2 linked regions of the Schizosaccharomyces pombe genome follow. The gene in region 2 interacts genetically with the main gene of each other region. Each region holds a gene or a part of one and is shown on either strand. Other genes may lie near its edges.

Evidence for each region. Genes that interact genetically often act in the same process or in processes that back each other up.
Region 1: mutations in ulp2 (region 2) and cut3 are lethal when combined (synthetic lethality), as found in Schizosaccharomyces pombe (2 studies listed by BioGRID, with this or other methods).

Annotation. Positions count from the first base shown.
Region 1 is NC_003423.3:1,004,466-1,008,065, reverse strand, and holds the start of cut3 (condensin complex SMC subunit Smc4), read left to right. Parts: upstream 1-1,542; 5' UTR 1,543-1,602; coding exon 1,603-3,600. Other genes in the region: erv2 (sulfhydryl oxidase), read right to left, coding at 1-48. UniProt on the Schizosaccharomyces pombe protein: Central component of the condensin complex, a complex required for conversion of interphase chromatin into mitotic-like condense chromosomes.
Region 2 is NC_003424.3:1,762,535-1,770,097, reverse strand, and holds ulp2 (SUMO deconjugating cysteine peptidase Ulp2), read left to right. Parts: upstream 1-3,364; 5' UTR 3,365-3,386; coding exon 3,387-3,407; exon of another isoform or gene 3,408-3,453; coding exon 3,454-3,509; exon of another isoform or gene 3,510-3,567; coding exon 3,568-3,761; exon of another isoform or gene 3,762-3,842; intron 3,843-3,909; coding exon 3,910-4,756; intron 4,757-4,825; coding exon 4,826-4,930; intron 4,931-4,931; exon of another isoform or gene 4,932-4,984; coding exon 4,985-5,221; intron 5,222-5,305; coding exon 5,306-5,762; 3' UTR 5,763-5,865; downstream 5,866-7,563. Other genes in the region: protein phosphatase regulatory subunit Glc8, read left to right, coding at 78-1,010; erp2 (COPII-coated vesicle-associated protein Erp2/3/4), read right to left, coding at 1,679-2,311; transcription factor TFIIH complex ERCC-3 subunit Ptr8, read right to left, coding at 5,897-7,563.

The sequences.
Region 1 (3,600 bases), on a different chromosome or scaffold from region 2:
GATTAGTAGGGTAGGGAGAATCACCTGAATTCTTCTATTAAGGATCATGTTTTATAGTATTTAGCTACTTCGTTTTCCCCGTAAGAACACCTTCATCTACCAAATTAATTGTAAAGGAGAACTGCAAGGACAGAAACTCACGCGGCTTTTTTGATCTGATATGCGGCATCGCTATGTTGCAATAACGAGAAGGAATTGATGGTAAACAAAACTAACCTCCTGGGTTATACAGAGCGAGTGCATCGTTATATCTAATGCTAATTAACAGAAAAACTTTTAAAGTAGTAAGATGGAACAGGCTGCTGGATGATCCAATGCATTACCAAATTGATTTAGATAAATGTATTGCCAACCCTTTAATTTTTTTTTTAGATATTAAATATCTTTTATATCAATTCTATATGCTTTTTATTTTAAGACTCAGAAGAGTTTTAATTATAAGTATAGTTAATAGTTAATAAATATGTAGTTTAGTGATAGAGATATAACCAAATAACAACAAAAAAATTAACTAAAGTATCATTATTATAAAGTCCATTGCTAGGTTTTATCACTATAAAATTTTTTTTAAGTTTGGAATTATTTACTAAAAAAAAGAAACTTAACGTAAATAAATAAAAACTAAGAGGACTTGTTAGTTTTTGTTTAAAAAATAAATAAATAAATAAAGAAGGAAGAGTTTAGCTAAGTTATCAAGTGAGCATAGATAGCATATAATAATCTATGTTTACAGATTTAAATGTTTTAAAGATAAATTACTTGCAATTGCTTGAAGATATGAATTTGCGTTTGATTAGTTTAAATCAAAATGTAAGAATTTTGGGTTAAATTAACATATGGCAAAAGGCTTGTCAAGTTTAAAGCTAAAAAAATACAAAACAATAGTGAATTTGAAAAGTTGTTCTAAAAAACTTGGACAAATCGTTTCCTTGCATTAACATTTCATTTAAAGAGCTAATCTATTTATATTACTTACTGATTATTCTTTATTCGTGGTTATTTCACACATAGGGCTACCCAAACAAGGTAAATTTTTGCGTCGTCTTGCTAGATTTAATGAAGGAATACAGAACAAAAAATCTTTGAGCTTTATATTTATTGTGTGAATTGAAAGAGGATGTTTGCTTGTGCTAGTAAAAACTTAGAAACAGCAATGTATTCTGCTCGTCCTTTTAATATTTTGCTAGTGTAAAGTGTCAGAGCAATATTCTCTTTTACTTAATTTTCGTTTTGAGTTAACTTTCAACGTCCAAGAATACCAAATTGACTAGCATAATAATTTAATGTATAATAGACACATGAGTTTATAATTACAGGTAAAAAGATGTTTGAAGTCTTCCTTTAAATCAGGTGTGTAGGTATAAAATAAATAGATCATTTTCATCTAACATGACCTGTTTACACAATTATACTTCAGTCTTTAGTTTATAAACATGGGCTTTAGTGTAATTTAACTGTGGGTTTTTGTATATTTTATTCATTAATTGACTTCATCGTTGGGTGAAATGCTGTTCAACCGTTGTAAACAACACACCTCTTTTCACGACCACCCACTCTTTTAGAATTTTAAGTAATATATAATTTGTTGAAGATACTATCTTTATGTCTGACAAGGGCATCTTTCGAACGTCTTCAACACCCTCGATTGTGGATGTTACGCCAGATCGTGGTGAAAGGCCACGAAAGTTGGTTCGCTCAGTGCTAGAATCTCCTTCTCAGAAAGATGTCGCATCAATTGTCAAGATAGAGCAAACACCATCTCGCCCATTTTTCAATGACTTTTTAAAAAAAAGAATTACCGATTCTTTAAACGAACGCCCTAATTTGCTCAACAAATTTATGTCTGCTCAAGATGGCACTCCATCTAAATCAACAGGTTTCAATGAACGGAGTTCACAACTTGTGTCAGAATTTACTACTACAGAGGATATTGAGAATTGTGAAGAAACCACTCAGGTTCTTCCTCCTAGACTGGTTGTTTACGAGCTACGCCTAACAAATTTTAAATCATATGCAGGAACTCAGATAGTGGGTCCGTTTCATCCTTCTTTTTCTTCAATTGTTGGACCAAATGGCTCTGGGAAATCTAATGTTATCGATGCTTTACTTTTTGTTTTCGGTTTTCGTGCTAGTAAACTTAGGCAATCCAAAGCGTCTGCCTTAATTCATAAATCTGCAACTCATCCTTCTCTCGATAGTTGTGATGTCGAAATTACTTTTAAAGAGGTAAACTCTGACTTTACTTATGTTGATGGAAGCGAACTAACAGTTCGTCGTACTGCTTATAAAAATAATACTAGTAAATACTTTGTAAATGGGGTTGAGAGTTCCTTTTCTGCAGTTTCTAATCTTTTAAAGGAGAAAGGAATAGACTTGAATCATAAGAGATTTTTAATTCTTCAAGGAGAAGTCGAATCAATAGCGCAAATGAAGCCCCGGGCTATATCAGAAGGTGATGATGGTCTTCTTGAATATCTTGAAGATATCATCGGAACCTCGAAATATAAGCCAATTATAGAAGAGAATATGCAAGAACTTTCGAATTCTGATGATATCTGTGCTGAGAAAGAATCTCGTTTAAAACTGGTGCTCTCTGAAAAGGCGAAATTAGAAGATAGCAAAAATTCGGTTCTTTCTTTTCTCAAAGACGAAAATGAGTTGTTTATGAAACAGAATCAGCTTTACCGTACTATTCTATACGAAACACGCAATAAAAAGACGTTAGTTCAAAACTTGCTTAATAGTTTGGAAGGAAAATTACAAGCACATTTAGAGAAATTTGAACAAACCGAGCGAGATATTTCGGAAAAAAATGAAGAGGTTAAATCATTGCGTGAAAAGGCAGCAAAAGTAAAAAACGATTGTACTTCAGAGAAGAAAACTCGCCAGTCTTATGAACAACAGACTGTGAAGATTGAAGAGCAGTTAAAATTTTTACTTAATAAAGAAAAAAAGTTAAAGAAATCCATTGAGGCTCTTTCATTCGAAAAATCAGAAGCAGAAAATTCTTTAAGCTCTCATGATATTGATTCCCAAAAGTTGAATTCTGAAATTGCCGATCTCAGTTTAAGACTTCAACAGGAAGAATTGAGTTTGGATGACATTAGGAAAAGTCTACAGGGAAAAACGGAAGGTATTTCAAATGCTATTGAAGAAAAGCAAAAGGCTATGGCTCCCGCCCTCGAGAAAATAAACCAATTGACATCAGAAAAACAAATTTTACAGGTTGAGTTGGATATGTTATTAAATAAAGAAAATGATCTAATTAACGATGTTGAGTCCTCTCAATCTTCGCTTGATAAACTGCGTAATGATGCAGAAGAAAATCGGAATATCCTGTCTTCTAAGCTTAAAGTGCTTTCCGACCTAAAAGGAGAGAAGAAAGATGTTAGTAAGAACATTGAAAGAAAGAAGGAAACTGTTCACAATACTTACCGAAATCTTATGTCAAACAGAACAAAGTTGGAGGAGATGAAAGCTTCTTTAAGTTCTTCTAGATCTCGTGGAAATGTGTTAGAAAGTCTTCAAAGACTTCATGAATCTGATAATTTAAATGGTTTCTTTGGACGTCTTGGTGATTTGGCTACAATTGACGAGGCT
Region 2 (7,563 bases):
GATCCTCCACCAACTTTTACATCTTCAAATCAAGGATATCATTTTCTCGTATCCAAAACGCACAGAAATAGATAACGATGAAGGTTAAATCAATTCTTAAACATAGTCGTATGAGTTCTCCCTCACTTGAGACTGACTCAATGGAAAGTGGCCAACAACAAAATATGGTCTCATCAACACCTTCAATTGATATGAATGAGAGTGATTGCTCGGGCACAGGAACTCCATCGGAAGAAAGAATTCGTCGTCTTCGTTGGGATGAGGAAAATCTTTCAAAAGCTGAACAGCAGAAGTCAGCGAAAATGAAAATTACCGAACCGAAAACTCCTTTTCAACGCTTTTTGCTTCCAGATGATGAAGTTCCTGAAATCAATTTGGATGAAACTGACAGTAAGGACGACTTTACTGCTGGAACTTTGGGTGACACACTCGGCACTCTTCCCAGTACCCGGGTGTCAAAAGATTCTAAAGATGACAATGTCTCCTTTTCGAGCGACAAGAAACAATTTTATGTCAAAAAGGAACCTTTCCCGGTTCCTTGTACTGAACCGACTACTTCGGGTGATAGGTACACCGTCCGTATGAAGGCTCCAACACCAAAGTACTCTACAGATAATCATTTACCAAGTAAAAAAGAACTATTTCCGAGGGAAACAAAACCCCAAGTTGAAGTAGTTCATGCCAGAATTAATAATCCTGACGACCATTTACGTACTCATCCTTCTGTGAATAACCTAGGTAAAGATTCTGATCATGCTGATAAAATGTATAATGAAGGAGTAATTCTAGGAGAAGACGAAGCAATGGAAGAGGAGGCTTTATCTGAAGCTGAAGAGAACATTCCTAAAAAGAAACCGGACTTCAACGAACTTCGAAAGAAACATTATTTTGCTATGGCTAAGCCCTTGAAAAGAGATGAACTTGAAAGCAGTGGTACAGAGAGTGATTTAGAGAGAGATAATAGCGATTCTGGGTCAGCTTCTGATGTAAATATGAATGAAAATGAGTGAATCACTTTATTAACTTTACGCATTATTGAAACGTGAGTTGCAAGTACAAAGGATCTTGAGTTTCATTTATTATAACGTCAAACGACTGCAAATTATTTTTTCGACCTTCAAAGTTTTATTACATGAGCTTTTGCGTCTTCTCCGTTTACGTTTTTTATTCATTTCTATTCCCCTTTTTTGCCCTTTTCACTTTGGTTGTACAGTTGTTCTGCTCGGTTTATATTAAAACCTTTCTTATGAACTTCAAATAGTTTAACGGCTTTCATTTCATTTTTATGCCCTTTTAGCAGTCTAATCCTTCATTTATGGCCGCTAACCCTACCCATTCTTTTTTTTTCATAGTATACAATTTTTTATACTTAAATACTCATTAAGCACATTTTTTCTTTATTTCGTTGATAGGTTGCTTAAATTTGTATGAAACACGAATACAGTTGTAAAATGCAATGAAGGAAATAATAATATTGCTTAGTGGAAAATACTTCAACTACAAGAAATTGTAATCCTTGATTTAATAAAGACGCATGTCGATTGTCTTATTTAAATCCTGGCATAATAATATAATCCTGAATAAAACAATAGAGCTATAAGCTTCGTTAAGACTGATTAAAGGCATACATAGGCATGACAGATATGAATATTGTTAGAAAGGTGACCGACTAGTCAGTTTATACACCTCTCCGACCAGATCGTTTAAAGAATGTCTTTACAATAAAGACTTGAAGAGCAGAAAGAGCGACAACCATTATAGATTCAGCAAGACTAAACCAAAAGATGCGGGCTTGAGTAGACTTTACAGTAGAATAATTACGATGCTCCCGAGTTTTGAAGTAATTTTGTACACGGTCAATTTCAGATAATGCGGTTGAGATCTCTAAAACAGTACTTTGCATGCTGTCCTTTTTGTAGTCTTTGGCTTCATCACGGGTTAATGCAGGAAGAGAAAGTTCATTTTCCATAGTGATTTCCATAGTCACAATTTTATCAGTAAACGTAGACATATGATTATCAAAACAGAATTCATATTCACCCTTTTCTTCGAGGGTGAAAAATACATCAGCCTGTCTTCTCTTTTTGCCAAGTGCAACGGTCTTCTGAGATGGTGCCTTGATCATATAATCGACATCAAAAGAACCGCCAGACTGAACAGCGTACGTGAAATGTGTTTTTTCGCCAGTGTGAAAAGAATCTAAGTAGTAACACTGCTTCTCTTGGTTTTCTAACTTGAATGTTAACTCAATAGCCGAAGCTAAGCTGGCGAGCAAAAATAGTGTTATGCCGCTTAGAGTAATTACGCGCATTTTCTATAAAGTAAGGTTAATCTTCAAAAATTTAATATAACTTTTAATTCCAATGTATCAAAACAAATTCACTTACGATATGTGAGTAGTTTTATGCTCAGCTGCAGAGTAGGCTGTTGCTACGTTGAGTGTTGACAGTGTGGAATATGCTGTATCGCAAAAGGCAAGTATCGATAGCGTTCTGGGAATATAAATTAGAGTATTAGTCTTAATAAATACTCTTAAAACAATTTTACAAATTTTTCTTCTTTTAATCATTTACAAAATTGTTTATGAAAATGAGTATAAACCCAGAATCATCAGCATACTAATAACAAATAGTAAACCTTCGAAAAATAAAAGCAGAAGTTTTTCTTCTTAATTATCAAAATAATTTGGTGGTTTTAAATGATCTAGTCCCAAACATAGTTTAGAAAGGAAATCGTTCAAAACTAACTTTCTTTACTATGATATCATATAATAAATATTCAAGTAATATTGGTATTATTATACTTCTTCATGATATTATACAAAGGTCAAACAGGTTTTCATGCGTGAATGTCCCATGCTCTTACTTGTTCTTAATGTATTGTTGTTATTTTTTTTTATAATTTACATTGATTTTAATGCGACTATGGTTGCAATTGACTAATGTATCTAATGCATTCGTAAATCAGAGATAAATACAAGTTTAAATAAACGATCTGTAAAATATATTCTAGTCAATAAAAAGAATTTAGAATAGTTTACAAAAAATCATTTTCTTGGAAGTTAACAGCAACATTTTGTTCGCTATTCGTTATTAAAAAATCAAAACAATCGTAATATGATTAATCAAAGGTTAGGAAGAAATCAGCTTAAAAAGCAACTATGCCTTTCGTTTTTTATTCATTTACATTGAGTTAAAGACACTGTTAGAGATACTTACATCCTTTGCATTGGTTGATACCCTTTATTTACATTGTTTTACCCAGATCATCTACCGCAAAATAATGAATCCTTATGTTTTATTTGGACGCGCTGTGGCTCACAAAACCTGTGCCATTGATTAAGTAGTAGGCTTCTCTATCTCGCCAAAACAGGTATGTCATGAAGAATGAGAGATTCCAAAGATGCCGTATGTTATTCTTTTTCGTTTCTTTTTCTTACTAACTATTTTTTAGCTGGATGATAAATCAGGGTCATTCACTAGTCTTCTTCCCCCGTTTGGAAAACAAAGGTTTGACTTTACCTCGTCTTTTAATTCACATTCCTATATTAATATTTTTACAATCTAGAGGTACTAGCCCAAATGATGCTATTCCTATTAAGAGCCCGCTAGAAAGGCTAGCGAATAGTGTAACATCCCCGGAAAAGCCAACGGTTCGAACTGCTATACAGAAGGATTCACCAAGGCGGAAGCAGATAGATGATGATCAAACACCTCCTAAGCACTTAAAACGCTCTTTTCAAAATGTTACAGTGGTTTCTCGTAAGTCGCAACTTTTTTGCTCTGATCCATGTGTAAAGCATGAGGAAATGCAAAATGTTTAGAACAATTCCTCTTCTTCAGTATCAATAATTGATTTTTTAAAATAAAAACTAACTTATTTTTGCCTCTTTTTGGCTACTTTGTTTAGCACGAAAAAAGAAAACAATTGATGTGGTCGAGCTGCCTTTCACAAAAGGGGGTTATGGAGGTTTTTACGATCCTAGGCCTGGGTGTTTAAAATTTACTACCCATGAAATAAATGTTTCTTACACAGATACTAGCATTCCAGTCATTCACATCCCTGTCCAATTGTTGAAGCGGTGTTGCTGGCTTCAAGGATGGAGAGACAATTTGGTGGAATCTCCAGTACATGCTATTCATTTAACCTTAAAAAATAGAGATATGAAAAGAATTACGATAGGTGATTCTGCCAGTTTATTATTTTTATACAACCCATTACATGTAGAATCCGCTAGAGCTGGCCTTGATCTTTTGGACCAATCTGACTTTTCTTTAACATCTCCTAGTTCGGCTAAAGAATTTAAACAATTATTGACTTTAAAACAATCCACGATCATCCCTCGCACTCCCCAGAAAACTGTAAGGTCAATTGTTAAACAGACCTCGTCTCCACATTCCTCAAAAATGCCTAAACATTCCCTTCCATCCTCGCCAACTCCATTTAATTCCAATTCTGGTGACTCTCTTCTTTCCAGGATTAAAAATTCGAACCAGTCATCGTCAGAGCGTCCAACGGCAAATAACGGAGCTCAAGAGCAAAATCAGTCATCAAGTTCTGCTGGAAACACTTCCAATGACTTTTCAACTTTATGTTCTCAAGGTTCTGATAAAACACTTCTGTCTGATGCATCTTGTACCACTATTCTCGTATATCCGTTTTCTGGAACAAATTCAATTGCCATTACTAATACCGACCTTACAAGACTCAATGAGGGAGAATTTTTAAACGATACTATTGTTGATTTTTATTTGAGGTAAGTTTTTTTTTTTTTTTTTTTTTTTTTTTTTTGGAATCTTCGCTTCTTTTAACCTCAAAAATTTAGATATTTATACTGTAAATTACAAACACAAAATCCTTCTTTGGCCAATGACACTCATATTTTTAACACATTTTTCTATAATCGTCTTACTTCAAAAGATAAAGATGGGTATGTAACAGGCTTTACTTCTATCAATTATTTGATCACTAATGGGTAATATAGCAAGCGGCTAGGTCATAGAGGAGTTCGAAAGTGGACTCAAAAAGTTGACCTTTTCCATAAAAAATACATTATTGTTCCTATCAATGAAACATTTCATTGGTATCTAGCTATTATCTGCAACATTGATCGATTAATGCCTGTGGACACAAAACTGGAAGAGCAGGATGAAATAGTTATGTCGTCTGTGGAACAACCGTCTGCTTCAAAGACTAGACAAGCAGAATTAACGAGCAATAGGTATGTTAAAGGTTTACAATTTTATTGATTAAAAGGAAAAATATATCATAAATCATTTGATTCAGTTTACTAAGTTAATTATAGTCCAGCAATTTTGATTTTTGATTCTTTAGCAAATCTTCATAAAGGAGCATTAAATTACTTACGTGAATATTTACTGGAAGAAGCTTTCGAAAGGAAAAATGTACATCTTAAGTCCACTGATATACGGGGGTTTCATGCAAAAGTCCCGCAACAAAGCAATTTTTCTGATTGTGGTATATATGCGTTACATTTCGTCGAACTATTTCTTGAAACTCCTGAGCAAGTGATAGCCAATACTTTAGATAAATCTCTTAGACGGACGGATGCTAAAAACTTCGACCAACAGTGGAACCTTCAAAAGATTAACACGATGAGATGCGATTTGAAGGGTTTAATTCGCCGTCTGTCAACTGAGTGGTCGTCTAACAATGAACGACAATCGCTTAGCAGCGGAAGCAACGATGAAGAAGATAAAGAAAATGATGATGATTTGGCAATATTGCCAATCACAAATTAGAATTTACAAGGGAATTAGGGAAATCATAATTTCATATTAAAACTTAACGAAAGCATTATTATCAAAAATTTTAGCGTAGAAAAATCAACAAAATTCATGTCTATATCGTGTGTATGCTAGCATGTATAACTTCGCTAGCGACGTTTAGTATACAGGTGCTTCCGAAATAAGGCATGATGTTCTTTACTGTCCTTTTTCAGCTGTTTATTAGCACTCTTGTTATATTCCACGTATGCCATATTGTCGGCACCAGCCAATGTACTTAAAGAACCACTAGAACGTTTAGCTTTCGCCGGTGCTCTAGAGAGACTTCTGGATCCAAAGCTAGTATCCTCACCGTCATCCAAATCAGCTGCTTCTTCATTTTGTAGCAATACTTCCTGCAAAAGCTCAAGTCTCTCCGCTTTGGAGGCGTAAGCCAAATTTGGCAAGTTCTCCATACCCTTTAAATTAGTGATGACTTTAAAAGCATAGCCTTGGTCAATTAAAAATGCTTGCCGTTTACTGGAATAATACATTTCCTGAGTGTCTTTAGATACCAAGCTATAGAAAAATGCGTTAAAGCCTTCATCATTTCGTCGCTTGGCACGAAGAATACGCCCCAAACGTTGAGCTTCTTGACGCCTAGAACCATAATGAGAAGAAATCTGAATCAAACAGGTTGCTTCAGGAAGATCAATAGACGTATCACCAACTTTAGAAAGGAAAATGGTATTTACAAGTTCATTATACTGGAAATTTTCCAAAATCCTCATTCTTTCCTGCTGTGGAGTTCCACCATAAATAAAATATTTGCCTAATTTTATTGCATAAGCACGCAAAGCATAGACATTGTCTGAAAAAACGATAATTTTATCACCACGTTTTTCGTGATAATCGATGAGGAATTGACAAGCCTGAAATTTTTTAGGATTCATGATATAAAGTAGCATTCTTTTTCGGGAGTTTTCTCGAAGATATTCATTATAAAACTCAGTGGTCATCGCGCACCAAACTTCGGCGCATTGAACCTTAGCGATGTGACCTTTTTGTGCCAAATCCATCCAATTTGCTTCGTACATTTTAGGCCCAATCAAAAAATTTAAATCATCAATTTTATCATCCTCACGAACTAACGTAGCAGTTAACCCAAGCTTTGTGTGAGCGGCAATTGTGGTGACAACTCGCCGAAACATGGCAGCAGGAACCACATGTACTTCGTCTAATAGGATAAACCCCCATTCACGTCCCGTAAGAAAATCCATCATTTTTTGAGAATCATAGGATCTATTCCTGGTATTGGCAACCATTGAGTACGTGGAGACAACCACACCTGCTTCGCTGTGAAACCGTTCTTTGTGATCAGCAGTAAAAACCGCAATGTGATCAGGCTTGATGTTGCTCCACTGTAAAAATTGTTGACGCCATTGCATTACCGAAACAGAACTGGTGCAAAGCACGATTACTGATTTTTTGATAGTACAAGCCGCTGTGATACCAACCAAGGTTTTACCAGCTCCACATGGTAATACAATAATTCCACTTCGAGCTCTACCATTTCCAAACATTTTACTAAGACTCTTTTCTTGGTATGGACGAATTTGAGTGCTTGGCTTAAGGTCTATAGGAAGATCTGGATTGATGTTGTCATTACGAAAATCGTACTCTTCCAATAAGGGATAATCAATCTCTGCACATCTCTTCTTGATAGTTTCCACTGAAGAGTGCTTAATTTCGAAAAGATGAACGGCATCTTCATCATCTTCCTCTTCCTGTAAGCCTACTACTGCCGAAAACAGTTCATCAGATGAACTTTTCTCAG